Drosophila melanogaster: one gene and its partners. The protein of the gene in region 2 interacts with the protein of the main gene of each other region in a pairwise test. Each region holds a gene or a part of one and is shown on either strand. Other genes may lie near its edges.

Region 1 (7,259 bases), on a different chromosome or scaffold from region 2:
GGTATACCCACGGTAGTTACGAGTCAAATGAACCTTCTGTTGGCCGTTAATTAATTGAACTATAAATATATTTATCGCTGATGCGATTAAACGGTCAGCAGTTATTGTGCCGTAAATATGACAACCTTTTAAAATATACTGCCTTGCTATTTCACTGTCGCTTTCGATAGGTTTTTGTTTGGAAAATCAGAACTTTTGAAAACATTGATTGTAACCAACGAATAGGACAGTGATTATCATTTATGGTCTCCTCGGTGAGGCCATGCTATTCCATCGTTACCACCTGCAAGAAAAGTTTCCATGATTGAGTGAATTCTTAAAATTCTATTTGTTCATTTACCTAGTTTTCAGCTGAATTGTTCCAGGAATATTAAACAAAATACAGGTGTTCTTCACTCACCCATCAGATATTATTTATTCGAATTTCGAACTAGAACTTGTTTAAGATTATTGTTCTTTTTGGTAGCTAATCTTAAGCATTAGAGCAACGAAAACAATCTACGTTCTTATAAAAACGGGTAAAAAAACAATATATCTCAACTACGATCCTCGAGTTACAGCAAAGATACTGGCTTACAGCAGAAACTTGTCATTGTGCATAAACACGAACTCGCTAGAGAGCCGCGTATCTATATCTATGACAATCCAGGTTCCACAGTCCCCGAAAGAATCCAAACTAGTGCACTTCATTACAACACTTCCTTAACCAAATATCACATTGCATTCTGAGCTTTATTGGAAATACATGCCTACGTCTTGCACGCGGTGTAGGTCTGGACACTTGGAGTGCAGGCGCCCTGCTGGTCGTCGAAGAAGTAGTTGCCGCAGGACCTCTCGCTCACGGTTACCCCGTCGGAGCAGCTCAGATAGTTGCGACAGCCCTTGGTGGCACTAACGACAAAACTAGCAGTCCGACCGTCGCAACGATCGTGGGAGCAATAGACCGAACTGGGGGTTATGCACATCTGGCTGCTCGCATCGAAGAATCTGTCCTGGGGACACTGGTTCCACACCGGATTGGGGTCCGGGGTGCCATCCTTCTGCTTGGCGCAGTAGAAGTAGCCGCGACAGGTGGCTTCATCCGCGACGAACTTGTTCTCGTAGGGCTTACTGGCCTTGCCGCAGACATCCGTGGGCAACGGATGGGCATCGCAGTCCACCAGAGCCTTGGACACACACTCGCCCGTGCTGGCCTGATAATAGGTTTTCGAGCATGTCTTGTCCTTCAGGACGCCCTTCTCACAGACGTGATACATATTGCAGCCCTGCAGATTGTCGAAGTTTACGCCGTTCTTAACAATGCTGCAGTACTCGAAGGTGCTGGTGGTGCAATCCGATTCGTGTTGGCGGGAGCACATCTGGGTGGTGGCATTGAAGTGCGTCTCCTGCGGACAGGTGCCGTACAAGGCCGTCTCCTCGTCCGCACAGTAATAGTAGCCGTAGCAGGACTTGGGGTCGGCCACGAATTGCTTGGCCCGATCCGCGCAGGATATCGAGCAGCTGGACGTGGAAGTGGACAGTGACTTAACGCATTTGCCCGTGTCCTTGTCGAAAAACGGAGTAGATCCCGTGCATGTACTGTAGTAGCTGACGGAATCGATGCACGTGATCGATTGACTGCAGGATTCGGGATCTCGGATCACCGTATTATTGGAGAACAAGCGGCAGATGTCCTCATTCCGGCCATTAACCACATCTAGGCCTTGAAGCAGTAGCACCAGTGCCACGCCCAGTATGGCACCAAATTCTGCAATTTGAAAAAACAATAAAGTTAGATTTACACCACTGGCAGTTTGCAATCCACTCACTTTCCATTACAGCTCAACTTTGGACAAAGCATAAACTCGTACTGAATCTGAACGTCGACCTGCGATTACTTATAAATATCAGAGGATAAGCAGCAATCACTATTTGCTGGCAAGATAAGCGGATTGGTTTTTGAGGGGTATTCAACTGGGTAAGATGGGTTAAATAAAGATGAATAGAAGTCATTTGTTAAAAGCTCGAAGATTACAATCAAATGTATTGATTTTGCTTAGGGATTTGCTATATAATATTTTTGAAAAGGTAAATGATAGAGCACAAAAAATGGGAATGTTTGATAAAATTGTATTTATAAATTTAATGTTTTTAAGGAGCATTCATAAAATTTTACTTCAGAAAAAATTAATTATATTTTTCGTTGCTAAAGTACTGGGTGATTTCTAGTCGTAGTGAATGGTGATTTTATAAACAAGTTGGAGATTGCCAATTGGCTACCGGTAAATTAAATAGGAAGTAGATAAGTTATCATTTCGGCCAAAAAATAGTAATAAAATGAAGAGCAAGATCAGCTGGTTTAATTCATAAGGCTTAGTGGGTTAATAGAGAGCTTCCCTTCTTTATTATAAAAAAAAAAACATTTTTAGTACTCTACCAATTAAATATAAAAAGTAAATAAGCACGTAGCTTGAACTATTTTTTAAGAATTTAAATTACTTCGAAAATGCCTTGTGATTTGGAAAAAGTATCGAGTAAAGTGTTTAAATGTCATTGCATACTTATGGGCGAATTTCTAAACGGACAAAACTCGCTTTTAGGCGAAACAATAAAATAAGGCGGATAGATTTAAAATAGTTTAACGGAAAATAAAACTGACTAAAAAAATGGGGTTTTTGTTATTAAACATTAACATCAATTATTTTTATAGATTATATAGATAGATAATAAAATTTCAAAATACTTGCATATAATTGTACTATTTAATTATGCATACAAATAAATAAATATATATAACTCATAATTTCATAATTTCATAGTGCGATTTATTTATTTTGTATTTCAGTTCAAACGGTTCTTTTGGACAAGTTATTAATATAAACATTTGTAGTTCGGTAATTTTTCCCCAGAACCTGATAACCTTCAGAGGAAAGTCTAGTCAAGTCAAGTCAAGAGTCGCAGTGCGATTCAAATTGAGATATCTAACTAATGTCGTGTTGCTGAAATGAGTGCCGAGATACCAGGGAAACACCACTGAGTGATCAATAAGAGCCGTGACACTTTCCCGCCTCCTCGAGCTTCTTCGAAATTAAAAAACAATTATAGACAAAGAGGGTTCGCAATCAGCAGCTGATAATCCAAATTCCGGCGCGGCTGTCAACGTATAAAAATATATATAAACTATATATACATACTAAACTAAGTATGTATGGTGTCCGCTGGCCAAGAATCGATTTGAGCTTATAAGCCAGTCCATTTTGGCCGGGTCCGCTAGTTTCACTTTCGTCGTCCAACGCCTTCGAACCGCCTTCAAGCTAACCCAACAACTTCGGAGGGATGCAAGGTGCGTGGTTTACCCCAGACCTTAGAATCTTATCTAGCATTAATTTCGATACTAACGCCCTACTGGCGGCTGGCTTATCTGGCTGACAATTTTTTAATTACCCACCCAGTTCGCGCCGCGAATTGTCAACTATAAAAACGCAAAGGCTGCAATTGATTGAGTTAGTAACGAAATCGGAACGTTCGCTTCGGTCGTCTGTCTATCAAGTGAATTTGTCCCCGAAAAATATTAGCATTCCAAGATGGGAGGTACGTTGGCTCGAAGAACGGATACAGTTATCTCAGGTGCACAGTATTCAAGACGTCTTGCTTCGACTAAATTTTGAAAAGTGGTTTCAAACATGGTTTTAAGGCCCTGAAATTCTCCTGCAAAGGAGATGACTTTCAAAAATGGCTAAAATGACTTTCAAATTTCGATTTGTTACTCAAATTGAGTTTTTCTTTCGTCCTTAATTGATTTTTTATCCAAAAAAAGGGCTGCCGTGTTGGCTACAACAAAGGCTTAACCAATTTTAGAGACGCTAACACGAATTTTGGATTGAAAGCTATCAATTTTGTCGTTTCTAGCATAATTTCTTTGCATTATTAAGTACAAACAAAATAGAAAACTATTCGACGATTACACATGTCTATATTTTATTTAATAATTCATAGTTCGTATCCCCCTGTATCCCCCATTTAGCAATCAATATGAGGATCTGTGTCGTGGCCGCATGTCTCCTAATGGCATCGCAGGCCACCGGCTACACGATGGATGATCTGTGCCAACAGTGGTCGGGCTATGGATACATCGGCAATCCGAGCAACTGCCATGCCTGGGGATACTGCAAGAACCAGGAGGTTGTGGCCTGGGGCACCTGTCCCAACGGCTTGGTGTTCAACGCGCAGGCCGGCAGCTGTGATTACGCTAATACCACGGTGTGCTCCACCAGTGCCGTTGAGACATGCTCCAACGTCAAATCTCCCATGTATGTGGCCAATCCGTTGAACTGCACCGAATACGCCTACTGCGATGGCACAGGCCAAATCTCCTATGGCGATTGCGGCACCGGCGGCGTCTATTCGGCATCCTCCACAAAATGTATATGGGGACCCGCCTGCCCGCAGGACACCATCTGTCGGTTCATGTTGTCCAACATCTTTGTAGGCGATCCGAACCAGTGCGGCAACTACATCAACTGCGTCAACGGCTATGGCACTTCCGAAAAATGTTCCAGCACCGCCAATCCCTACTATAATAAAGCCACTGGCAACTGCCAGTCGACGAATCCGTGCACCGGCGAAGATTCAAACAGTGGAAACTCTGACCAGTTCACTGTTGGGCAAACAAATGCAACTGCTTGTGACGAAGAAGCTTTTAAAGCAGCAGATCCACTTACTGTAAATGGGGAATCTGTTGACTATAGGTACGTTTCTGATGGTGTCACCTGCTATGGGTACTACTACTGTGCAGCAGTAAACGCCACTGGCTATTGGAACCAATGTCCCACCGGTACCCAATTCAATGCTGGCAAGTGCGTTTCGCCAGCCTCCTTTGTCTGTACCCATAACCGATGTGGGAACGTTAACAATCCATTCATGGCAGATGAGGGTTGCAAGAACTACACAATCTGCTCCAGCGGAATAACCGGATCATGTCCCACCAATGCGCCGTACTACGACGAGGTGAACAATATCTGCACCACCAAAATTCCCGATTACGCCATTTGTAATTCGACGGCTAGTACATGAGCATCTCCTCCAGCCACGTCTGTTTGCCGAGATACCTTTTATGAAATATATAAATAAATACCAATGCTGAAGGCATTCAAAAGAAACTAATAAAAATGTTGACTTCGACCAAGCGAAATTTGTTTTAAATGTTGTTGTTTTTGAAATTGTTGATTAGTTGTTCGCCTTTTTGGTAGCAAATCTTTCAAAAAGAGGCTCACAGAAAATGTGCCTCAAAATATAAATATAATTTCTGCGGGATGGGTATTTGTAAATGTTATCTGCCAAGCTAAGTTAATTAAATAATTAATTAAAAAAATTCAATGGCCTCCATCTATTGTATTAGAAGAAGGTGGAACAGTAAAACCCCATTGCTTGGGAAATTTCTGGAGAAGTTACTTGATTGACGTCAGCATTGAGATATTGTTTTGAATTCAGTACTTCAAAGCCTAGTATTGTAGTAGGCTGCTCCTTCTACCCTCTTCCTTTACTCTTAGTCATACATACCTAATTATACATAGCCAATCTAGTCATAAGCTTATACACTCATACACCCATCCTTAACATACAAATATTATCGAGAAACTTATCGACTAATCGACTCGCCACTCTGCAGAGAGCGCGGCAGTCAGTCGCTGTTGAACCAAGCTAAAGGACAGATCAAAAATAAAAGAGACACGTGAAATTGTATTAGAATATTAACTTCTGTAAACGGCGGCTAAAATCTCAGAAGTGGGATTAATAATCCAAAATGGACGATAAAATCATCCTGAACGACTTTTCGCTGACAACCCTAAAAGATTGGCTACGTATTCTGGGCCAAAATACGGAGGGCACAAAAACCGAATTAATCGCGAGGCTGCAAGACATCCCAACGGCAGTTCGGGGCGATTGTCCACCGGAGCACCCCCAGAAAAACGCTCCACCAGGAAACGACATTTTTTCTTCACTGGATTTTCAGAATTGTGAAATTAACACCGATCACGTAAGTGTGAATGCGATGAACAGAAAAGAATCAACCGAAACTGGCAGTGAGAGGGAGACAAACATGTTCGAGCTACAGCAACTACGCGCAGAGCTAGCAGAAGCGAAGGCAATGCTTAACGGAACACGATCGAGCTTGCAGTTCCAAGAACAACAACAACCAGAGCAAAGCAAGGCTACAGTTAGTTCCGTTATCCAGACGGCGCAGTTTACGCAGGCTGGCGCCACAAAAGAGAACACAACATTTCACTCGCCGCAGCGATCCAACGAGAGAGCGGAGAGCCAGCGTTTTCCAGTTGATGCTCTCGCTCTCGCCAAAGAGACGATAACCGATTACGATGGGAAAACTTGCGCGCGTGCCTGGATAACAGTGGTCAAAAATATCGCACGCACTTTCAACATCGATGACAACCATTTACGCATCTTACTCATCACTAAACTTAAAGGAAACGCGCAAGTCTGGTTACATGCGCACCCTGCTCGATTGATCGAACCAATTGACAATTTGCTTGATCAATTGTCATTGACTTTTGGCGAGCAATCATCCAAGGCTGAGATCCGGCGAAAATTCGAGAGTCGCAAGTGGAAAACCGAGGAGAATTTCTGCAGTTATTACGACGAGAAGATGGCTCTCTCAAACGGGATAAACATCGACGACGACGAACTACTGGACCAGATGATAGAGGGCATACCGCTACAAAATTTCCGTACCCAAGCACGGATTCAATGCTTCTCTACTCCATCGGAGATGCTACGCGCATTTTCGAACATCCGTTTGCCAGCTCGGAGGGAGCCACCTGTACAGCCAACCGACTACAAAGATGCCATACGATGCGCAAACTGTAATTCAAGAGGACACAAAGCTGACATCTGCAAGAAGCCCAAACGTGAACCAGGTTCGTGCTACGCCTGTGGACAACTTGGACACCTGGTGGCACAATGTCCCACAAGGAAGAGCGTTTCATCTAATAATTATGTAAGATGGTTTAAAATTAATTTTTTTGAAAATGCTTATAAGCCCATAATTTCAGAATGCCTCATAGACTCTGGCAGTCCTATATCTATCATTAAAAAGTCACTTATTAACGAGACAATGAAGTTAGCCCTAGTTAATACTTGCTATTTTGGTTTAAACAACTGTATTCTCAAAACACATGGACAAACCACATGTTATGTATTGAAAGGATCAATAAAAATATATTTTCGTTTAATCATTGTTTGCGACCAGTCTATGAGGTATAATG
Region 2 (7,986 bases):
TATTTTATCAATATACACGATATTCTTTTATTCAGGTTGCTAGGCGATTCGAGAAAATGCTGAAGAGAAACCCATTCCAGTACACACTGTGGAGCAACCTAATAATGATCACCCAAGGCGACATGGCTTGTTGCAACGTGTCCGCTGTGCTCCGGATTTACGAGTACAGCATGCGCCGCATGCATGTGGGACACAACGATGAAATAACCCGAAGATTCATCATTAAGGAGACTGATGTGATAATGCTAAAACTTTTTCACAATTGCTTACTATTCCTACGCCAATCGGGCCATACTAACTGGATGTTTGCTCTGATTCGTTTGTCTATGGAGTTGAATTTCCCCTACCTGACGTTCGAATGCCTACAAGCACATGCAGGAAGAGAAAAAGCATTGATTGGATTCGAGGAAGTGGTGCTGCGTTCGGGAATGCCGATGCCCGAGATCTGGACGCGTGTGGAGCAGCTCAGACAGGCATACTGCTTCCTGCCGTTGAAAGACAAGCTGGCTTCGTCGACTAATGTCTTCAAAAACAAGATGAACGCCGAACGATACTTTTGCAGCGACAAACTTGTCCCATATGTACACGCACTCAAGTCGCAGAATAATCGTCTGCACCTGGTGCTCGTGGTTGTTCAACTAATGAAATTGCCCCTGATTCGCAGCGCTAGTTTGGCGGACAAATTGAATCCTTGCATCGAGGACTTCGGCGAGTCTGAGGCCATTGAAATGCTTTTCGCTGCCATAGTAGATAGGCACTCCTATGCAGTGGCTTCGTTGCAATATCAATTTGATGCAGCCATGATCGACTTAGCCAGAGAGATGTCCGTGACGCCCAGCTACATGCCGCATCTTGTTGGCCATAAACTGTATGCGGATACCGTGAGTAATATGCTACTCAAATGCGTCGAAGTCTTTATCGGCGAGGAGTCCAAGCGACGATTGTTGCTTATTCTGTATTTGCGATTCCAAAAACTATTAATAGTGCTGCACAAGTCCATGGGCAAGCTAACGAAAAAATTCTTTAAGGATAAACGAACACGGATGCGCAAACTGATCAATTTGACGGAGAACCGAAATGTTATTAGTTTCTACACGGAACAGGCCTTGTGCGAAATTGAGGCTAAGCATTACCGACTGGGCTTTTCCATAATTTCGAGGATCATCACAAAAAAATCGGAAGAATCCAGCTGCATTAGTTGCGTGGACACAATGCATCTCTATTTAGTTTGTGCAGAATTGCATATACATAGGGGCCGCATATCTAAGGCCATCGGCATACTCGTTTCACTGTGTTTGGAAAAACATGCCGGAGTAAAGCAGACAACTGTCTACTCCAAGGAACAGGTTTTGAAAGGCCTGAGAAATGCAGAGAAAATGGTGCGAGCGGAACTGAAATCCCTCGATACCCAGCCAGCTGAGATGTCTTTGGAGGAGTACTTCCAGCCCAACAAATTGCTCATCCTCTTGCGCGCTATCTGTTTGATCGAAGTGCTGAATAATCGTCGTCATAAGGAGGCTAGAATGTGGCTCAATGACCTGCAGAATAACGAATTTGGTCCCGAGGCCGTCAAGGACAGCGAAAGAAAGCGTTTCCTTAGGGAGCAGATCATGGAAATACAGATGCTACATCTGCGTTTGTCCTTTTTAGTATTTGGCGAAGTTGAATTCTATACTGGATTCAAAAAGATCAAGCTACATGAACTGCTCGAGAATGGACTCGAAGAGTTTCCACGAAATATGGTGTTTCTACAGCTGTGGGCCAGCTTAAAATCGATTATGTGGCACAAGCAGCGTAGCCGGCTCATACGCACCAAAGCCGGCATCGCTTCACTGGCGCACTTGGTCGTTGCGATTCACAATCGCTTTGGAATCGTAGATACCAACGATAAGTTTTCAAAGGAAGCCACAAGGAAGATGGTGTGCAATCGTTTGGTCAGCATTGTCGAGACTTTTCTCCCGACCAATTTAGATCGTTTGGATGTGGAGGAAGAGCATTATCGCATACTGCGCAGGAACTCCATCTATTGGCGCTTGTACATGATTGCCCTATCCAAAACGAATGCCTCGTTTAGGCGCAGCAAAGAAGTCCTTATAATGGCCATGGACGAGTGTCCCTGGGACAAGTCACTACTGATGGAAGGCGCCAAGGTTTTGCCAGTGAAACTAGCATCGCTACAGGACCTGATGACCGAAAAAGAGATTCGCATTTTCGCTATGCCCGAGGAAGTGGACGTCTTGAGGGGCTTTTAAGTCGCTTTGGTTTTATTCGTTTGTTTTGAGGTTATTTGCCATTCGGGCGACTCGATAAGTTCGCATCATAAATATATTTATTTCTTCAAACAATCTAGTTCTGAAGTTTGCTTCAACTTTAAGTTAACTGGCGAAATTGCGATAAGCTGTTTGCAGTTATATGCGTACATGCATATTTTACTACATATATCCTAAATCGCTTATCAGAATTGGCTCACTAACAAATTCAGAATTAGCGATTTTGCTACTCAAAAATACTCGCCGTTCGATTATGTTAAAAAAAAATTCCAACACTTTATCGCTCGTTGCTGTGCAAGGAAACCAGAGTCGCATATCGAATGTCGGAGATTAGTCCAACTTCATCTTCTGGCCAATCCGCTCCCCCCGAATCCAGCATTTTCTTGTGTTTATTATTTTGATTGTGTTTATCGCAAGATAACCGAACAAAACTCATAAGCCAAAACAGCGCCGAAAGAATCACTGCGCACCTGAGGTCGCAATTGTAGCACCTGGAAGCTGTGAGACGAACTAAATACAACATATTTGTTATGTCATTTTCATATCGCTGAAATGAAACATATATTGCAAATAGCTTATTTTTATATTACTGAAATTTAAAATATATTGCAAATAGTTTATGGTTCTGTTTATTTAAATTTATTAAATCATTTAAATATGCAAAAGAAATTAAGAAGTTTTCTACATTTGTAAATTACAAATAAAAATATTTATATTCCTATTTAGCTATGAGTAGTTTTAACAGCTAACTTGTTAAATATTGATAAATTTAGATTTAATATGTACACATTAAAGGATTTGTATTAAATGACATGAATGATATTGACGATAAAATGATTGATATTTTGTATGCGATCTGTTTGTGTGACCGCAAGTGTGGTGGCCAAGTTGCGTGAGCGCGAGCGAGACGGCTGTGGCTGAGTGTTGACTCGTCTCGAATGTTGCGTATGCGCCCTGTCTGCCCAGCCACTTAAGACTCCTGTGCGTTACTGTTGCTCTTTGGAAAAGCGTGGAAATCGGGAGAGGAAACGCTGTGATTGGGCAGAGGGGTAGTGGGGATGAAAAGCTCCGCTCGCCGAAACGCATCGAAAGCTGTCTGAGCGCGAGAGTCCTGGCTGCTGTCCATTCGCACGTCCGTCTGTTCGCCTGCTCGTCCACCCATCCGACATCTTTGGACCGGGCTTCATCGATGGCAGTCGGTCGGCATCTGTCCAAGTCCCACGACGCGTTGTCGCTCCGCATCGGCCGTTGCTGCAGTGGAAGCGGCCCGTTTGGCCAAGTGGCGTCTCCGTAGTCCCTAGTCTCATGGCGGCGGAGTCTCCTCTCAAGGTTTCCCAGGCACTCCAGACCGTTTCCAGTTCCTAGGTTAGTGCTAGAGCTCGGAATATCTGGCCAGTATCAGGCCAATCCATATATAATAATATATACATACATATATATATATATATGTATATATCGCTATAACGGCCGAGTGTTTTTTGTTCCATTTCGTTTCGATAGCGAGTGTAATTTTTTTGAGAGTGCTCCCCCGTTCTAAGTCGTGTGTGTGTGTGTGTTTCTCTTCCTGTTTGGGTGTGTGTGCTGCGATGTCTCTGTGTTGGTGTAGAGCAGAAGCAAGAAGAAGCAGCATTGTGTAAGACGCCAGCGTCAAGTTCGTAGACTAAACACCAACCTTCTTTTGCGGCTCTACTCTAGCAAAGGGGAAAAGCTTTTCAGAGAGGAAACTCAGAAAATGAGAAAACGATAGAGACAGAGAGCGCAGAGAGTCAATGTGCACTGCTAGAAAATGTGGGGAAAACCAGTTTGCGAGCATGCGATTCGTGACAGTTTGCATATTTTTTAAGCATCTTTATCTCAGATTTCCAAATCTATAACTCAAATATTACTAAATTTATTACAGATAAGTGTAATCAAAATAATTGATAGCTTATTATTATTATTATATAATGCTTCCTTGGAGATTGTTATAAACAGAGGAGATTCAAGTGATTTTTTGTGCAAAACTCTAGTTTTAGCAACGTTTTCTTTTTTCCCGGTGTACTGGGTGAGCATGAACTCGCCGAGGGTTTCCCGGCCGGAAACCTTAGTCAAGGTCTCGCCAGCTTTCCAACGCAGGTTGTTGCTGCGCTCTCGCTCACACTCGCTGCTGGTGGGCGTTTGGCCAATCGCCATCTCTGTCGCACCGCTGTCGGTGACGAGCGAAGCTTTTATTGTATATTTCATCTTTCACGCTCTTTTCCCTGCCATTTCTGCTTCTTTGGGGCAGCGGCACCTAGAGCGGGAGCGGGAGCGGAGTGGAGCGTGAGTGGAGCGTTAGCTTTCCGGGCAGCTGATTCGCGCTCGGCTCGGCTCTCCGCTGCCGTTGCCGCTGCCGCCGTCGCTGCTCCGCTCGTCGTCTGGCTGATTAGTTTAGTTTGTGATTTCAATATATGTAATTAATTTTTGTTTCTGTAGCGGTACGGACGGACGCGTCGCGACGTTCGCTTGGTCCGCTTGGTGTTCGTTCGGTTCGCTTGGAGCTTGGAGTTCGAATTCGGTTCGCCAGCCGTCGCTGTTTCGTATTTATTATTATTTTTTATTTTTTTTTTATGAGTATATTCGTATTTCGCATTTGTATCTGAATGTTTCTTTGGCTCTGCGTACGTGTGTGAGCGATTGTGCGAGTTTCCTTCTCTTTCAACTTGCCTTTTTCGTGGTCGCCGCCGCTGCTAAAATGCAAAGAACACGCTCGAGCAACGTAAATGGCGCCGCGTTAACGAATGGAATTGGATTATCAAACAGTGCCCCCCAGAGCCCCATATAAAAGTTGAAAAAAAAAATAAAATAAAAAACAAAACGAGGAATTAAAACCGAAATAAAACAGGCAACAAACAAACTTCGTTTTGACAACCCCCCCGCCTTTTTTTTTGTTTGCGTGTGTGTGTTTTGTGCCAGTGCTTGTGCTATAGTGTAAAAAAAAAAGTTTGAAACAACAAACCAAAAACGCGCTCGAGGGGAAATATTATCAAAAAGGTAGATGGCGGTGACCTTAAATCATATAGTAATTATAGGGCTATCTTCCAGTTGGACAGTTTCAACAACCAAACGTTGGTGTATGAAAAACTCCAATTATCCTATTATACGACTAGTATGTATATTCATAAGCCCAATGGGGCTTAAATACCGCTGTTGGTGTGTTGTTGAACAAGCTTGAACAAGTATTTTTTTGTGCTCTACGTTGGTGCATTGGAGTGTAGATATAGTTTCAACAACCGACCAACCACCAAGCGCAAAATTAATATTGTTGAAACGTTCGAGCTTAGCAGCTGTTGGTGAACCGTTGTTGGTGTATTGTTGAGTGCGCGGCATTAGATGCTGTTGATCAGAGTACTTTTGGTACTCTTGTGATCCTGTTTCATTTCCGTTTTTGTTCACTGATTTCGATGTTTTCTTGTGCAGAGAATTGGTTTTATATGGTGTAGCCTACGAGTACGAGCATATGTGCTGAAATCAGCGGCGCGTGCGCGCATTTTTGCGCGATCGAAACCCGAGAACGATTCAGTTTTTTGTTGAGTTGGGAAAAGTTTCGATTTACGAAAAACATTCCCACTGTCTGTGTTTGTCATCCTTCGAAAATCTGCTTAGCCAACATTAACGTGTTTGCCCATCCACAAACACATACAAATGCATACAAAAAAAAAACTATCACATTCGCATCGACACAATCAATGAGGCAAGACAAATAAAATTAACATATTAATGAATTTCCAGTTTCTTTTTTCGACTTATTTAATTTTTTAATAAGAAAAGAAAAAACAGAAAAACAAAACAAGCGTGAAGAACTCGAGTCTCTCGACTTCGGCATACCCAAAAAGCACGAAAGCGGGAAGTGTGATTATGGCCAAAATTCCAGATCTGCGCTTTAATGGGTGTGCGAAGATCAACGGATTCCAATGAATATAGATGTTATATGGCGGAGCACTTTATGATGGGTTCTTAGCCTCCCTTGAACTTGTGGGCAGCATGGAAAGAGTGCGATGGAACTGAGCTTTGGATGATAATAGCAATAAAAGTAAATATAAATAGCCCAGCATCAGGTATTTGTTGGCAACAATTTTTCAATGATTTACCAGTTCCGAGTTCCGATCAATAAAAGTGTTTTTTTTCTGTTTTTTTTTTTTTTGCTATTCGGTTTGGTTTTTTCTTTCCAATTTTTGTTTTTTGTTCGGCTGCTTTGCTGCTGCTCTCAAGGTTTTCTGTGTGCTGTTGCCGATGGTGATGATGGTTATGATGATGATGATGATGATGTTGATGATTTTTGTGTGGATGTTTTTCATTTTTATTATTTTCTCTGTTACTTTTTGGCTTTTGTTTTGTTTTATGTTTGATAATTAATTTCTACGTCGCATGCTGATGTTGGCAATTCAAGTGAATTGAAAGAGGGGGGAAACTGTTAAAAATATATAAGTGTACAAATCTCAAGGCAGTTTATAAATATTTTAAAAAATCCATAGGTACATTGGGTAGCTTTTAAATTATAGCCAAAGCATAAGTTCTCTAAAAAAAAAACCATATAATTTGGATGTCTGTTTCATTTTTAAGGACAATAAAATATGCAGTCAATTTCCCTAGCATTTTTCTTTCTTTTATATTTTTTTACGAGTTCGTATATGTAAACATATTTATTTATTTTTTTTCTAACTTGTTGTTCTTGTCGCCCTCATCAAATTTTTTGCTGACGTCGCGTCTAAGAGCGATCGCTTTGGCTGAGCGGCGAGCGTTCAGCGTTCAGCGTTGAGCGGGCCAAGCGGTATAGAGAGTCAAAAGCTCGTCGCTTAAATGTGAGCAGGGGGGCCTGGTGGGGAGAGGGGCCAGGCGGTATTTTTTGTGGAGGGGCCAAGACGCTCTAAAGCTGCGGGAAAAGGAAAGCCGAACCTGTACTGAAAGCGGACCTAAGCAGCGGCAATTGATAACCTAACCTAGACAATAAAAACGACCGCCAACCGATGGCGACCCCAAGAAATGACGTCCACTACTTGAATAACTTGGCATTTTAAGTTAAATATTTAATTTTCAATTAAATGTGTCAGATTCTCTGGGCAGTCAAGCATAATTTAAGACAGGGAAAGTTAGCCGAGAGAAATGGAATGCCAAAATGAGCGAGCTAATGGTACTACTTTTTTTTCGCCACAATTTGTATTCTAAAGTACAATCGGAAAAACTACATAGAATGGGAAAATATTTCAAAAATGCTCGCGTATATTTCGAATTTCTTTTGAATAAAACACAATGTAAGCTATCATAAATTAAGGGCAATCAAATCGAGCCGCAAAGAATGTGGACTGCCAAAACACAAGTTTATCGATAAATCGAATCTTAATTGGAGGCGAATTTAGCATGCCTGATTGGATCGCATATAGCCGAGATAGCTTGACGCCATCTTAGGCAGCTATGCTAATTAAATCGATTTGACTTAGATTAGCCACGCTTGCCGCGGTTCACATGGCGTATGTGCAATAAACGCGGCTCACCATAACGCATACGCCGTGTGGCCAGGAAAATGGTATCCCTTTTGGAACGCATAACTCTCTATCCAGCTATTTCATGCATCGTACAGCGGCCTATTTCCGCTCCCCAATAGTTTACCTTCCTCAAAGTGTCTGTAGGTCAAACTAGTTTTATTTCTGCACCAGATTAGCCTTACAAATATAATCAACTTGAAAGCTCTATATTCAAT
Region 3 (8,519 bases), on a different chromosome or scaffold from region 2:
TGGACAAGAAACAGGAGGAACTGAACAACATTAAGGCCAAGTACAATCTGAAGACGCCTGAAGCTCCTTAGAACCCACACTTGGTGCGGCAGGCGGTGATGGGGCATAGCCAGACATTGGGCCCCACCAGATGACGCCCCCACTTCCATCGACCATTTTCCATTGTTTAGGGAACTTCTTGCTCTGCTTATGTGTATACCAAATTTTTGCTATCTACTTGTAGATTTTTTTGATCGCATTTTGTATCATTTGAATCTAATCATTATCATCCATCCATCACTCCATCTATCATATAAACGGCCGGATATCGCGGAACGCAGACATTTGCGCCCGGTTCCGACTGTTTGCAATCATTTGACGACATTAAGACACTCTCTCATCAAAATAACAAGCAAGTGAAAGTAAAAATAAAAAAAAATTGAAAAACTAGAATCGTTTGTTTCGATTTATGACCAATTTTTTTTAAAACTAGTTTTAGTCCAAAACCATTTGTAGTTATTCTAAAGTGTGTCATTTGGGTCAAGTTTATTTAACAACTTAGAAATAGGATAACAAGTAATAGTTAAATATTAACCAACAATAAAAATTCCCACTATTATGGGAAGTCTTTTGCCCTATGTAATCGTAAACTATTCTGCGATTAGGGTTCCTCCTTAAGGTCAGGACCAGTTTGGCTAGCTGCCGCTGCCTATTACTTTTCGTATGTGTCTTGCTGCTTCTCCAGTGCCAGTTGGTTCTTCAAATCCTTGAGCTCCTTCTTGGCGACCTTCGCAATTTCCTGCCGTAGTGCCTCAACCTTTTGTTTACGGTCATTTCTCTCCCCCAGAGGCTTCGCCGGCTTTTCGTCATGGACTTTTTGGTGTCGGATGAGCGCCGCTACCTGGCGAAAGCGATTGCCACACGTCTTACACTCGAAGGGCTTTTCGCCAGTGTGTATCCACTCGTGTTGCTTCACGGATTGCGAGTTGGCAAAGCGACGGGAGCAGAAACGGCACTCAAAGTCCTTGACTTTTTCGTGGACGCTCTTGTAGTGGCGCTTCATGTTGCCTATGCTCTTGAATCCCTGACTGCAGCTGGGACACAAGTACATACCCTCCTTTTGCACAAACTGAATCTCGTCTGTGGGATTCACTGCGGTCCCTGCCAATAGGGCCACATCAACTTGCTCTACGCGGCGGGGATTCTTAGGAATGCTGGCTACGGATTCGGCGTAAACCTTCAGCAGCTGATGTGAGTCCACTTGAGTGTCACTGGCATCGCCATTTACTTGCACCTGTTTATAAGTTTCCAGAGCCCTTTCCACGCTCTTCTCATGAATCTTCAGATGATTGTTGAGACTCTCCGAATGCAGGAACTTTTTGTCACAAACCTGCAAGGCGAAAATATATCAGACTTTGGTAACAAGGGTATAATGGTAATTCCCTTACCTTGCATTCGCAGCGCTTCTCACCAGTGTGCGCCATCTCGTGTATTTTGCAGGCGTATGCTTTCCCGAACGTCTTTCCACAGTACTGGCAAGCAAAATTCCGGATTTTCTCATGTACGATCTTAACATGGCTCTCTAGCACCCGCTTCGTGTGGGTGGCATAGTCGCAGATGCGGCACTTAAACTGGTTCCGTTGGGTGTGGATCAGAATGTGCTTACTCCATTCCTGGCGGGTGGTCTTTCGCACTCCGCAGTACTGACACACGTAGTTCTTGATGCCAGCATGCCGGAGAAGATGATTCTTTAGGGCACTATTGATGTAAAAGCCCTTGCCGCAAATGGTACACGGATAGGGAAGCTCTTCGCCCGTGTGCGTGTACATGTGCTTCTTCATAGCCACCGGGCAACGAAACACCACGCCGCATTCCTTGCAAGACTGTTCACCCCGCGGAGCAATAACCCTCGCCTGGTTGTGAACCTTTTTCAAGTGAATGGTCAGCAGCCGGAGACGGGAAAAAACCAATTGACAGCCCTCCACGGTGCAGGGAACCGTATCCTCCTTCTTGGAGTGCGCATAGTCCACGTGCAAACGCAGTGCACCGGCTGTGGTGAAGCCCTTTCGGCAGCTTTCCTCCTGACACTGAAACGGCAACAGGTCATTGTGGTGCTTCATGTGCTCCTCGAACTTTGATTGCTTTTTGAACTTTTGCTGGCAGATGGAACAGCTCATAAGGCGAAACAGTTTACGCTTGTCGTTCGCAATCCGTCGCTGCCCCATGGCCTGCTCATCGTCGCTGTTGAACCCTTCCGACTCCTTTTTCTCCTCCTCCAGTCCGTTGTGCTCTGCACTGGAGAAGTGCTCCTCGCTTTGGTCCCTTGAATGCTCCTCTAGTTCCTTGTCAACTTTTTCCAGCAACTTGAACACATCCTCCTCGTTGTCAATCATCTCTAGTTTGTTATTCAGCAGCGGATCGAAACTGGCCGGCTCCTCTGGCCTTTCAGGTGCCTCAGAATCATCAGCTATAGATTCGAATACACCCATGGGCATATTCCTCTGGCTGGTCATCATTTCCTTTAGACGTTTAATAGATTCTGCGCACAGTTCGCGGAAGTCATGCAGGTCGTTCAGCTTGGTGAAACATTGGGTGCACAGGTTTCTCGGGAAACCGTCGTTTTGATCCGCATCAAACGAAGTGCACGCCCTGAGCTTCTGGAACAGATCTGGAACCACGAAGAGATCGTGTCCAGCACCATGCTTCAGGTGGACAAGGCAGGTGAGACAAAGCGATTGGACGGAGTACTTGAGCTCCATAGTGCCCATTTCCCTCAATTCTCGGGCAGATAACAATCGAAGCTTCTAAACAAATTTGTTCCAGTGTGACAGGCAGTCTGACCGTTTCGCTATGCCATTAACCCATTACGGTGTAGTGGGGTGGCAAGTAAACAGCATACTTGGATTCTTATTTTTATATTAACTTGTTTTAATGTAAGTGCTTTTTAGCAAGACCATGCATGCGTCTAGTTAAAATACATTTATTTATTATTTATTTTTGACTTTATTTCGATACAGAAATCTTGTACGTTCATTTTCGTATCAAATTTTCTTGATGCCCAGTTTGTATATTTTCAAATGTCGTTGCTTATTATTAAAAGCAATTTGTTTTACATGTTTATATATACATACTAATACAAAAAAATTTGTTTTATATTTTTTCTATATATACATACCATTATCTATATATTGTAAGTTCAGTTTCGTTTTTGTTACTATGGTGCTCAGTTTGCAAAATATTTTTAAAAAACCCTGAAATACTATTTGAAGTATACAAGCAATATCTATTTAATTAAATTAGTTGTATATATATATATTTTTTTTTTTTGTATATTGCAACCTAATTAGAATTGCAAATAAGAAGGTAAGAAAAAACATTGATTGTCCAGCCCTGAAACGCAAAACAACTACGCACTCGGACGAGTAACTCGCTGGCAGAAGTACTTGCTTATTGCCCACTCGCCCGATTGCCAGTCGACGAGTATACAATTTTTTCTGTGTCAATATTATTTTATTGCTTACTGACCGGAGAGAGACGCAAAAAGCTATAGAAAACCGCCCCGATCCGCAGTGCCGATTGCGATTGAAAGCAAGATGAACGAGGGCAGGCAGTACTCGATCCACAGCCTGTGCAGGATCTGTCTGAACCACCTGCAGAACGACGCCGCCTACGATTTGTATCTGGTTCCAGGACTTTCGAAGAAGCTATGCTTCTGCACATCCCTGTCCGTGGAGCAAAACGACGGATTCCCGAAGAACCTGTGCACCCTGTGCTACACCAAGCTGAACGAGCTGCACGACTTTCAGAAACAGTGCGTCGATTCCGTGCAAAAGTTCCAGGATCTGGTGGCCAGCAATGTCTTTGCCTGCCAGAGCAGCTTCGACGTCTTCGATCCCAACGTTGCCGTGCAGGACTACCCGGCCGAGGAAGAGGACCACGTCAACTATGACCCGCTGCTGAACCACAAGATGGAGCTAATCGAGAACGAGGAGGATGTCTTCAAGATGCTGGAGCACGTCGACAAGGAGGCCGAGGAGGTGGAGAAGGAGGCCAAGGTGGAGGAGGATGACGGGGGCAACGTTTCCGTCAAGATGTTCGACGACGATTCGTCCATCGAGAGCGGCAATGACAACGACCACGATCTGGACTTCGAGCCAAATAGCAGCGATGATGACATTCCGCTGGCCCAGCGCATGAGGGGACCAGCTACCGGATCAGGACCCCAGCAGGACCGTTTTAGCAACCTAGACAAACCCAAGCCGAGGCCCCGGGGACGGCCCAAAAAGATAAAACCGCCTCCGCCAGAGGAGGAGGAGTTGAGCGACTCATCCTCCGAATCAGATGACTCCGAAGACGGCACATCGCGGGGCGACAAGCCGAAGAGGAAGCGCATTCCCATCGAGGAACGCCACCTGCACCGCATCATCGACTGCCACATTTGCCACCAGAAGTTCAAGAAGGCCATCCGCTACGAGGAGCACATGAAGTACCACAACGACCTGCTGCCCTTCCAATGCAAGGTGGAGACCTGCAAGAAAGGTATAACGCTGGCTTAAGTATAAATATAAGTATCCGATCTCTATGAAATCCCACCTTACAGGTTTCACTACCGCCAATGGGCTGCGCATTCACATCGACCACGCCCACACAGAGCTGTCCGAGGTTCACGCCTGCATCGCCGAGGGCTGCGGCAAGACCTTCCCGCGCGTCCGTCTGCTCACCTTCCACATGAAGAAGGTGCACGGTATCACCAAGGCGGCTGCCCCGCTTCGAGATTTCCCCTGCACAGAATGCGACACCGTATTCCGCTGCCCCACAGCACTCAAGAAGCACATGTATAAGCACACGGGCGAGGAGCTTCCGTATCCTTGCAATATCTGCGGCAAGCGTTTTGTAATCAATAGTGCTTTAAGGGATCACCTTATGCGTCACGCAGGCATCAAGAACCATGTGTGTCCGTACTGCGGGGTGGGCAAGACGACGCGCCAGGAATGGAACGCCCACATCCTCACGCACACCAAGGAGAAAAAGTTCAAGTGCCGACAGTGCGACCATGCCTCGCACAACAAACAGGCGTTGTCCAATCATGTAAAGGTGGTGCACGAAAAGCGCAAGGACTTTGCCTGCCAGTACTGCGGAAAGACCTTCGGCAAGTCGCACGCCTGCAAGGTGCACGAGAGGAGTCACACGGGGGAGAAGTGCTGCGAGTGCAAGATCTGCGGCAAGATATTCCTCTGCGAGAAGAGCCTCACCAAGCATTTGAAGACGCACGAGAAAAGGGATCTGCCGCCGGCGGAGCCCCTTCGCCAGCAGCTTAACATTCCCATGCCCGGCCAAATGTCCGTACCGATGCCGGGCCAGATGCCGATGCAGATGCAGACGGATGGTTTGGTGCCAATGGACCCCAACCAGATGCCTAGTGAGGACATGCTGAAGGCATGCGGCGGCGGGACCGCTGCAGTGCCTCCCAAACCGAAGAACTCGCGACGCGTCCAGCGGGTGGACATTTCTCAGCTGGCGGGTACTGCGGTAAATCCAATACCATCCGTATCCGTGCCCTCGTGGTCGCCGCAAGTGAACTTCACCAAGAAGGAAGGCCAGCACATCTGTCCAGGCTGTGGGCGTGGCTTCAATAATATTGGAAACATGAAACTTCACTACAAAATCATCCACGAGAAGGTCAAGGACTTTGCCTGTCGCTTCTGCCCGAAGAGATTCTCCAAGGCACAGATTCTGCGGCATCACGAATGGATCCACACGGGCGAGAAGCCCTTCGAGTGCAAGATTTGTGGCAAACACTTCCGCCAGGAGACGGCACTCAAGAAACACATCAAGACGCACGAGAAGCCGAACCGGAGACACGTGCCCGAGCGCAGTGCGCCCACTCAGATCACGTTCCGCAAGCTGGAGCCAGACGCCGAGCCGCGTAACTTTGACCAGTATCAGGATCCGGCGGTGGAGCGGGCAGCGGCCACCGCTGAGCTGCTGGCGCACCAGCTGGAGGAGAACGAGGCCAAGCGGAAGGCGGAAATTGAGCGGCAGAAGATCGCGGCGGCGGCCTGCGAGCAGCTGACGAAGCTGCAGCAGCAGCAGGAGATCATCAAGGCGACCACCTCGTACGATGGCTACTATGCGCAGAAAGCGCAATCCGAGGGCACCAGCCTGGATGCCCTGAAGATCGACCACGTCTAGGCAGCAGGATTGGCTTTACTTTACTAGCATATATGCATCATAACCTAGCCACATCCATATGTATCCACTTCCAATGCAGCTGACACTGTCCGGAAAAGTTGTAGGCATGCCTCGAATTGCTCTCTAGCTGGATCAGATTGTAGGTTTATAGGCACTCCAGATTATTCGAGTGCATATTACAATATGAACACTTCATACTTTTTACGTACTACGTTTATACATACATGCAATATATGTATTATTTTGTTTTCCGTGTAATATCTCCCGTGCTTACTTAGAGTAATGGATTAAAAGTAATATTCATAACGCCATTGGAGTTTCCATCTGGTGGGCGGGACTAAGAGACCACTTTGCAATACCAGTGATTTTTACAAATATATTTTAATAACAAAAAACAAATTTTTTAGCCCGCAAGAACATTAATCAAACCTTAATTTAATTAAAATAAGTCATTTTTAGCTGAAATCCATCTGGATGGTTATGCTGAATTTTATTTCATATATTCCGTTCTTTAAATTTAGACAAATAAAGATGATAATTGATTTTTAATCGAATATTAAGAAACATTTTGCTGAACGAAATGATGTGAAAGGGGGATTTTACTGGAAAAGTTTCTATTCTGCATCCACGTCGAAATCTTCGGATGACCCTTCATTGTCTGAAGGATTATTTGACTCCTAAAACAAATTGGTTAATCTTATGTAATACATCTTTAAAACTTAGTTGATGACTTAACTGTCCAGTTATTACCATCCGTCTGATTCAAATCCATCAAACTTGAGATAATTATCTTAGCTGCCTTCCTGTTTTTGTTGGCCTTCTTCAATGCTATACTCTGCTTCTCCAGGACCTCCTCCAACTCTGCGATCTCCAGTTTAAGCCTATTTCTTCTATTCCCGGCATGTTGCAGTGCCAGTTCAGTGTCCAATACCTTAACTTCAGCTTCGAGAGCTTTTACGGAATCCTTGTCTGGTTGTTGCTCCATTTTTTTTTGTATACTCTTACTCAGCATGACAAATAATAATAAAGCTGCTATAGAAACAATTGATACAACCATATTTATAGACATACCAACGATTTAAGGTATTTTGAAAATCCTTAAAAAATTTATATTTGTTTAAAAATGTATTTAATATTTAAACTAAGACATATGTATTTTTTATTTTAAATTCTCAGACTCTTTGTATTGTATTGATCTAGTGCTAGTATTGTGCTCGTAGCTGTCCGGCAGTCTCACTCGACTGTGTGACTTGACTACGAATACACACACTCGCTGGGTCTAATACGCCCATCGTACCCTCTCCGCTGCGCACATGCATGTGAATGGGAAAAACAAAACAAAACGCCTGAGTGTGGGTGGCGAGTGCTAGAGCTGCGCAGTTTTTCAGCGAGCGTACTCGTCGCTTGCGGGTAATCGATAACCCGAATTGCTGACGAGTGCACACACACACGCACACGCGAGTACACACAAATGTGTGTTGTATTGGATTTTTTTCTCGGCGAAAGAACATTTCGAATTGCTGTGGTTTTCGCGATTTCTGGCTTTCGGGATCGTCCAGCATCGAATTGAGTGTCCAAAATGAATGAGGAGAGCCAGTACTCCATACACACGGTGTGCCGCACCTGCCTGTCCACGGTGGACGACTCGGCGGCCTACGATCTGTTCCGAGTGCCCGGTCTGGCCAAAAAGCTGTGCGTGTGCACCTCCTTGTCCGTGGAGCAGGCGGATGGCTTTCCCAAGAACCTGTGCAATGTCTGCTTCTCCAAGCTGAACGACCTGCACGACTTTCAGAAGCAGTGCGTCGATTCCGTTCAAAAGTTCCAAGATCTGGTGGCCAGCAACGCGTTCGCCTGCCAAACAAACTTCGATGTTCTGGACACCAGTGCCGCTGTGGCGGATCTGCCGGGCGAGGAAGAGGACAACGTGCACTTCGATCCGCTGCTCAACTCCAAGATCGAGATCATTGAGAACGAGGAGGACGTCTTCAAGATGCTCGAGTCCGTCGAAAAGGAGGTCGAAGAGGTGGAGATGGAGATGGAACAGCCGTTTGGCCGAGTATCTCAGGATGACTCCTTCGAGAGCGGCAACGACAACGACCTCGACGCAGACTTCCAAATCAGTAGTGACGACGACATTCCACTGGCCCAGCGCAGCCGGCGTGGAGCCACTCGTGGTTCCAAGGCGAAGGGCAAGCCGAAGTCGGCTGCCAAGCGACAGGAGGAGGAATCCGAGGAGTCCGAGGAGACCAGCTCATCAGACGACTCCGATGGCAATCCGAAGGACAAGCCCAAACGCAAGAGGATTCCTGCTACGGAGCGGGATCGCCACCGCCTGATTGACTGCCACA
Region 4 (7,900 bases), on a different chromosome or scaffold from region 2:
GGAGATGTGGGGACGCAAGGCGACAGTTGTTAAGGTTAAGGATGAATTCTCACCATCCAGACGAAGTTCACCCGTCAGAATTAAGCAAGAAAAACGCAGCAGCTCTAGGGATTTAAGCCCAGCGAGATCGAGTAAGCCAGCAAAGCGAGAAGAGAGTCCTCAAAGGGGGCGAAGAAGGGCGGGAAGCTCAGATCAGAGTCCCACCAGACGAGGGCGAGATGGCGATCAGTCTCCGCCACGCCAAAAGCACAGGGATTCCGATCAGAGTCCACCCCGAAAGGCCAGGAATGGCAATCAATCGCCAGTCAGAAAAAGGCGGGATTCCGACCAAAGTCCGCCAAGAAAACGAACGGGAAAAGCATCACCCACTCGAAGGAGAAGGGATTCCGATCAATCGCCACCCAGACGCCGCAGAAGTAACTCCGATCAGAGTCCGCCAAGGCGACGTAGAGACAAGGATTCAACTCCGCCCAGAAGGAGGAAAGATTCCGATCAAAGCCCACCTCGAAGGCGTAAAGCAGACGATCAATCTCCGGTGCGAAGGGAAAGGAAAGACTCCGACCAAAGTCCGCCTAGGAAACGGAGAGACAATGACCAGTCTCCAGTGCGAAGGAGGCGGGATTCAGATCAAAGCCCGCCCCGAAGACGCAGAGATGACAAGCAAACGCCGCCAAGGAGGAGAAGAAACTCCGATCAAAGCCCGCCAAGAAGACCCAAGGATGTAGATCAATCGCCACCGCGAAGAAAACGAGACTTCGACCAAAGTCCAACCAGAAAACGAGACAAATCACCACGCAGACGTCACGACTCCGACCAAAGCCCGGCCAGAAATCACAGAAGTCGAGAGCGCAGTCCACCGCCTCGTAATCGCTTCAAGGAAGAAAGGAAAAGTCGCTGGGCCAAGGCATCGCCCAGCAAATCAGCATCTCCACCTCCGACACACAAGCCGAAATCCACCAAGACACTAGATGGCAAGAAAGCTGGACTGCAGGATGCGAAATCGCTGAAGAAGGAAACCGACGAAAGGCGTCGACAAGAACATGAACTATTCGAGAAAATGTCCAGCGAAATTTCCGGTCGTGATGGCGATGTGCAGGTGCGCAGTACTCGCAGAAAGGGACACCGAGCACGAGATGCCGCCAATGAGGATCCCGCCGAGCAGGGCCGCAAAGAGGAGCACGAGAAAAAGAAGAAGGAACTGTACGATCGCTGGGGCAAGGGGTTGAAGCAAATAGAAGATCACAAGTCCCGCCTGGAGGAGATGGTCCATGAGGCCTCCAAACCGGTGGCTCGCTATGCCAACGACGAGGATCTGGACAGGCATCTGCGCGAACAGGAGCACGCCGACGACCCGATGCTGGAGTACATGCGCCAGAAGCGCAAGAAACGCGACCAGCAGGACAACAAGCCGGTGATGCCCAAGTACGAGGGCAGCTTTCCGGAGAACCGATTTGGCATCCGACCAGGATATCGCTGGGATGGCGTCGATCGATCCAACGGCTACGAGCAGCGTTGGTTCGACAAACAGAACGAACGGCGGGCCGTGCAGGATGAGGCCTACAAGTACAGCGTGGAGGATATGTGAATGTTGCAAGCGTTGTTTGCTTTCGTGTTGCAATAAAGATGTAGGCACTGCCTGTAAAAAAGAAAAGAGCAATTACATTGATCGTTTTCTTTGTTTTATTGAATTATTTTGGAAAATAAAGAATGTAAATAGGTAATATAATATTTAATATTTATTTACAAAAATTTGATTTTCGAAATGCCCGCCACTTTCCCGCCAAATCGACGTGCCACCTGCAACACTGGTCGCCAGCGCAATGCAACCCTGTGTGTAGAATAGCGGAGCAAAAGCGAATGGTAAATAGTCTTCATCTACACCTGCGACCTGCTCGTCGCTCCCAAAAAATCGTTTCAAAACCACGGAATAAACCGTGTAACTGGGGAAAACCCATTGTAATTATCAAGTTTAAAGTGTGCCGCACATTTTGGCTTCAAAACCAGAATAGGTAAGTGACATCATCTGCTAAATAGAAGCATTCTAAGATTTTTGCTTTGTAAGCAATAGAGTATCGATGTGTGTGTGTGTATGTAAATGGTTCTGCTTTTGGTTGCTTTGTTGCTGCTTTCGTTACAGCGAACAAAGCGTAAGCAACTGTATATGTGTATCGAGTGGGACGCCAGTGGTGTGTGTTTGTTGCCCCGCCCCCAATAATTAGCATAAAACTCTCTTAACCACAACAAAAACACCACAGTCGTGTTGGTTTGTGCATTTGTGGATTGGGATTTCGGTGGTTTTCCTTTTTTTTTCAGCTGCTTTGCCTGCCCTTCGCCTTCAGCCGCAATTGTCGGTCAGCCGATGAAAAACCAGTTTGTTTGTTTGTTGGCTTGTAGCTGCTGCTGCTGCGGCTGATTGTTGTGATTTTGTTGTTGCTGCTGGTGCTGCTGCACTGCAATTTGCTTGGCGCAAAATTGGCGCCAAAAGCTTTTCAGCTGCAGAAACGTGTGGAAATGTTGAAATGTGTACGTACCATTCCAATCAGGCATTTGGCGCATGCACGCGCCTGTCGCTCGCTGCAGCTTCCATCTCGCTCGCTCGCGGCGGGATGCAAATACCGCAATCAGCTTTCGTTCTATCTCTTTCCCGTTGACACACATACACACTTCCGCACATCGCATTCATTCATGACACTGCTATTTACTCCCCCTCTCTCTCCCCTGCCCCTCTACGTTCTTCTTTTCGATTCCTTGTGTGCCATTTCGTGGTCTGCTTTTATTTCGCTTCATTTTGAATTAATTGCACTTCGTTAGATTATTATTTTTGCACTCTAACAAAGAGCCGTTCGTTTGGATGTTACTTTGTGTGCAAATGAAGATTTAGCCAATTTACACAATCGTAAATTTAATTTGCGTTAGTGTATGTAAATCCATAATTTTCAGTTTCTATTTCCTTTTAGCAATCAAGTGCTAATTTGATCAATTATGCGCCTTTGATAAATAAATAAATAATGCAGTAAATTTATTTGTTTGATATTCTCTTTAATGTTGTAATTGTGCACTTTTCATACATATTATACTCCTTTGTTCTTAAAAATGCATAAAGTGAAGGTGGTTTTAAATTATGCTATAGACTTTGATTTTTTTAAAAGGTATTGACTAATTGAGTTTTTTAAACTTCAAGTTTACTCATTTTAAATGCATGAAAAACAGTTCTTTATAAGTTTAACTAGTTTTTAGTTATTTGTTGTTAACGGCAGATATTACACGCAATGGACATCGCAAAGATGCTAATTCTTTATTTCCCTAAGATAAGGGTAAAAATATCAAATATCTGTTTCTGAAAGTTTGCCTATTTTGCTTTTGAGCATGAAAACTTTCTTCAACTTTTCTTGGGCACTTTGTGTTTTTGAATGTTCTTTGCATCAGACAGGCTAAGATCAGTGCTTGGCCTTCTTCGACACATGGCCCTCTTAACCCCCCCAAAAAAAGGGGGAGAACCATAAACTGATGGCGCAGACACCCCAAGGAAACCTTCGCTGGTCCAAAAGCAACCCCCAGAGCAAGCTCAACCCTTGTCCTTGGCCCTTCCTTGTGCATTTCCTTGGCTTTTTCCTCGCGAATGGGGTGCTTCCAAGGACCCAGTGACATGACATTGTAATGGCTTAGAAATTTACACGCATCCCATGCTGAGTACGTGTGTTCCAAGCACCCCTTACAATCCACAGATTGATCCTCCCCCTTGGTCTTTGCTCGGAAATTGAGGGGTTGGTTTGTGTCATGCACTGTCAAAAATATTTATTAAATTACCAATATCTGAAACTCTAAATAAATTTCCCAATAGATGTAAAATCAGCACAAGAAATTTGCTATTTTCAAACGCCTTTTTTATCATAACTTGGCTAAAAATGTACTCACATTACAACATTTGATAGTTTTGTGCAGCTTATTATCCCAACTAACGATCTATATCACTTTTTTGTTCATATTTGGAATTTCAAAATTTTATGAATTTTGGATTTTTTGCAAGGGGTAACATCATAAAATTTTGAAAAAAATTTAACAAAAAAAAAAATTTTCAAATTTAAATGCCAATTGATTTAGAATTTTATAACGAGTTTTTTGAGATATGGCATTCCATATTGTGGCTGTTTTTTATAAAATTATGACGAAAAAACGAACTATTATGTGCGGAAAATTAGGCTAAAAAATTATTGCAAAATTTCATATTTACGAATACCACAAATATTGACTATTTGATTTTGATATATTTGAAATATTATTTATTACTGTTTATGTATGTACCAAATTGTTTGCAGTGTAGAATTTTGGCACAGTGATTCGGGTTCTTTAAAGCGTTTTTTAATTCCTTCACATGCTGGAACAACATAGGGCAAAGTTATTCAAATTCCTTTTGTTCGAAATCCTGTTGAATGGCAAAGGGAATTTCAATTCGGTTGATTCGATGGAATTTCCTCGGCACCACGTGTTCCGATCCTGGGATTTCCAATGACTCATACGCTTGGGGTTGTTGCTAGGGAAGCTTCTGAGTGGAGGAACTTCAGTTGGAATTGCCTTCTCGATCCTGGAACTTCCAATCAGTTTCTTTAATGGGAAAACTAGCGTATACTAATTCCTTAATTATTACTTTACCGACTTCAAGCTGCTGGAGGAATAGGAAGAGGGAAAGTCTAGGGGACTTACACCCCGCTAGGCCAACAAATAACTAGAGGAAAACAATGGAATTTTCATAATTTTCCTGGTCCATCTGGTTTTTCCCCCCTGCTTTGTGAACCTTATCCTCTTAGAACAATGCTGTGTAAAAGCGCCCCGCTGGAAAAACTAGTTTCTCCGCTTTCTTTCGATCGGAAAACAGAAGGCGAATGCCTTGTAACCAGTTTCTGCTAATTTGTGCACACGTGCAAATCCTTGGACAAAGGATCCATTGATAGAAACTCGTTCCAGCCCCCCGCCCGAGGCGAAAAGAAAAAAAAGGAAAGTGTTGGGTTCAAAACGCCGCCGGCCACTGACACAGGAAATTAAGGTTAATTCATCAAATTTTCGAAAAAGTTTTCTTCAAGAGACGGTCCGGATGGAAAATGCACTTTTCTTGGATCATTTGTCACTCGCATAATTAGATGCTTGTTATGACATCGCTGGGTTCAAAGTGCGAAGCATCAAGTGGTGTCGAGATGAGTTAGCATTTTAGGATCACTATATAAGAAAATTGGATGATTATAAATGGGAGTTTAAGTTGAGTTCAAGTGGTGTAGAGTCAAAGGATCTCGCAGGATCAACAGGGATTCTTGACGAACCAAAGAACGAAACAATCTTCTTCTCTTCTAATAAATTGTATTAAATCTGACAAAAGTTGTAGAAAACAACAATTAGATGGAATAAAAATATATAGAGCTATAATTCTCATATTAAATTTCATACCAAGAACTGACCTTAGATGATCCTCAGTTGGAGAAATCCTTTAACAACACTTCCTCCACATAACCATTTAGAGCTCGAGAGCTTCTGTTCCAGTTTGGAACCATAAATCAAGATCCATTGTTCGTTTCACGTGGATTGTTCTACTTACCGTACTGCTTACAGAACTTTGTAAGACAGACAATGGAGGGAATCCAAAAACAGGACTCGCGAAGGAGACAACCCGCTGCCCTAGATAACCATGAAAAGCATCCCGAGACTCTTTTTATTTTCATTATTACTACTTGCCCGAATGCCAAATTTGAAATTCCAGTTTGCTTTCGAACAAAGCACACGCATATGGATCAAAGGACATTAACTTGGGTGTTTTTTTTTTTTACGGGGGGGAAGCGAAGACAGCTTGGCTCGAAAGGATCTGCTCTGGCAATGGGAACAATATAAAATGGGAGATGGGAGCAGGACAATGATATAGTAGCGATTTAACTACCCTTGGTAGTTAAACTTATGCTACTTTTATGTTTTCCCAATAAAAACAGTTCCGTTTCTATTCACTCATTCTTCAGATTTGTTTTCTTAGTTCCTTAGGTGCGCTTTCCCCTTTCCCCTTCCGCATTCATTTCAATAGAAATGTAAATAGGAAATTTTAATAATGATTGAAATGAGTTTTTCGCGTGGAAAAAGCAATCGTATCGAAACGGAACCGAATGGATCGGATCTTCGAAGAGGGTTGCTGCACCCCATTAAAAGAAACTGCATGCGGCAACCCACAGTTAAGTATGTAATTTTCTGCCATCCATATGCAGATTTGTAAGGACATAACAATCTACGAGATGTTCGCCATAAAAAGGAAAAACTTAGAGGGGGAAAAAAGAAGTGTACGAACTGCCACTGACATCGATGATTTATAAACTGTTTTTTAATCGCCAGTCGCGCTGCTTGTCGCCAATTTCCATATCCATTTGAAATTCTCCTTCTATGTGCTATATAATTGAGCGTTAAAGAGCGTGGAAAATGCAAATCGGTGGAAATGCCAGGGGGGGGGGGGTTAACGAAAGCGAGGAAAATTAAGTGGAAAGTGACTTTTTAAATAGGCCAAACTGTACTTGTGCGAAATGAAATTAGTGGTTGCGTTCAGGGGTAATAATATTTAAGTAAATGTTACTTCGTTCAGCAAACATTAATGCTCCAATATAAAGGGGAAATCACTTTAAGTATGCTACTAAAATTAAGTATGTAGCATTTGAAAAGCTGAAACTTCAATCATACTTAACTCTTTTCCAGTGAAACGCCATTTCACTTGAATTCCTATAAACTTTACTAATGGACTGTCCATCAAATCGTTTTCTTGGAAATAAAAGTTGTTTTTTCGCTGTCCAAATAGCACATAATAATTGAAAGTTTTACTGTACCTAGTTTATTTTTCTAAAATTCACTCACTCATTCATGGAAGGAAACTCCTTGCCGCCAGCGCTTTTCCACCCCGCGTCGTTTGCTGGCTAAACAAAAAGTTAAATCGTCTACGAAAAAAAAAAATAAAAAAAATAGAAAAACGGAGAGCAGAGTCCTTCGATTTGGCACAGTATTATCCTTGGCTGTTCAGGGTTACTTTTCGGTCGGCGGTCTTTCCACCCCCCAGCGCACGACGGCGGTTATCTTCGTCGCGTCTTCAGCCAGGATATTCGAGGATACAAACGCTCCGCTCTCCCGCATCTCCTTGCTTGGATGGTGCTGCTTTGGTGGAGGGTTCGCAACCTGAGACCAACTGAGCTGTAGCGCGGTGACTCCTCCCGAGTCCTGGTGGTCGGACTCTCTAGGCATTCCGCCGCCAGAGGCTGACACAGTTATCGAGTGCAATCCGGACAGGTCGGTTGTGTTCCGCGCTCCTCGTTATTCGTTGTTCGTCCTTCGCGTCGCGTCGCGTTTTCCGGTTTGTTAGGTTCCCTTTTTGCTTTTCTGTTGCCTAATCCTTAGGATCTTCGGATCGAGTTAGTGGAGCATTGCTTTAAGTCGAAGTCTTCGCCTTCAACGATTTGCGCACGCATCGTCTACTCACGTTAATCGCATTTAGAGCAGTGTTTTTATAAAAAATCCCAATCGTTTTTATACATTCAAGTAAGTGGAGATTGTAAGAAATTTTAAATAAGTTACATGGCGAAATGGTTGAAGTAACATTTCTTGTTCCCCCATCTATGCCAATAATCCTTTATTGTCACTACGCTTGGAAATGGAGTAAATCCGTGTCGGCATCTGCCGCCTTTAACCTTGTCAGTAGTGCTATCCATTAATTGCGCCAGCCAGATAGCAGCCGGCAATTTATTTATCTGTCTATATGTACAGTATATATACATTCATATATAGAGACACGATCCATGTCTCGCTGCCTTGTTGCTAAACTGCAAATACTTGCAGGCGGCAGACAGAGTGCAACCATTTTATATCTGCCCGTCTGCAGTTCTCTTTGTTTCGC

What was found.
Region 1: the proteins of gce (region 2) and CG6933 interact in a two-hybrid assay, tested with the Drosophila melanogaster proteins (one large-scale study listed by BioGRID).
Region 3: the proteins of gce (region 2) and D19A interact in a two-hybrid assay, tested with the Drosophila melanogaster proteins (one large-scale study listed by BioGRID).
Region 4: the proteins of gce (region 2) and REPTOR interact in a two-hybrid assay, tested with the Drosophila melanogaster proteins (one large-scale study listed by BioGRID).

Annotation. Positions count from the first base shown.
Region 1 is NT_037436.4:20,216,408-20,223,666, reverse strand, and holds CG6933 (uncharacterized protein), read left to right. Parts: upstream 1-3,246; 5' UTR 3,247-3,315; coding exon of another isoform or gene 3,316-3,322; intron 3,323-3,431; 5' UTR 3,432-3,563; coding exon 3,564-3,606; intron 3,607-4,003; coding exon 4,004-5,052; 3' UTR 5,053-5,165; downstream 5,166-7,259. Other genes in the region: CG17145 (uncharacterized protein), read right to left, coding at 750-1,747, 1,809-1,815.
Region 2 is NC_004354.4:15,294,302-15,302,287, forward strand, and holds the start of gce (germ cell-expressed bHLH-PAS), read left to right. Parts: upstream 1-3,464; 5' UTR 3,465-3,635; intron 3,636-3,735; exon of another isoform or gene 3,736-3,916; intron 3,917-4,707; exon of another isoform or gene 4,708-5,282; intron 5,283-6,207; exon of another isoform or gene 6,208-6,321; intron 6,322-7,986. Other genes in the region: CG5877 (uncharacterized protein), read left to right, coding at 36-2,252.
Region 3 is NT_037436.4:6,184,033-6,192,551, reverse strand, and holds D19A (D19A), read left to right. Parts: upstream 1-3,428; 5' UTR 3,429-3,572; coding exon 3,573-4,518; intron 4,519-4,579; coding exon 4,580-6,171; 3' UTR 6,172-6,722; downstream 6,723-8,519. Other genes in the region: Sf3b6 (splicing factor 3b subunit 6), read left to right, coding at 1-71; CG7386 (uncharacterized protein), read right to left, coding at 692-1,369, 1,428-2,738; CG43293 (uncharacterized protein), read right to left, coding at 6,786-6,848, 6,908-7,156; D19B, read left to right, coding at 7,751-8,519.
Region 4 is NT_033777.3:24,576,822-24,584,721, reverse strand, and holds the start of REPTOR (repressed by TOR), read left to right. Parts: upstream 1-1,857; 5' UTR 1,858-2,009; intron 2,010-7,268; exon of another isoform or gene 7,269-7,545; intron 7,546-7,900. Other genes in the region: CG13625 (uncharacterized protein), read left to right, coding at 1-1,585.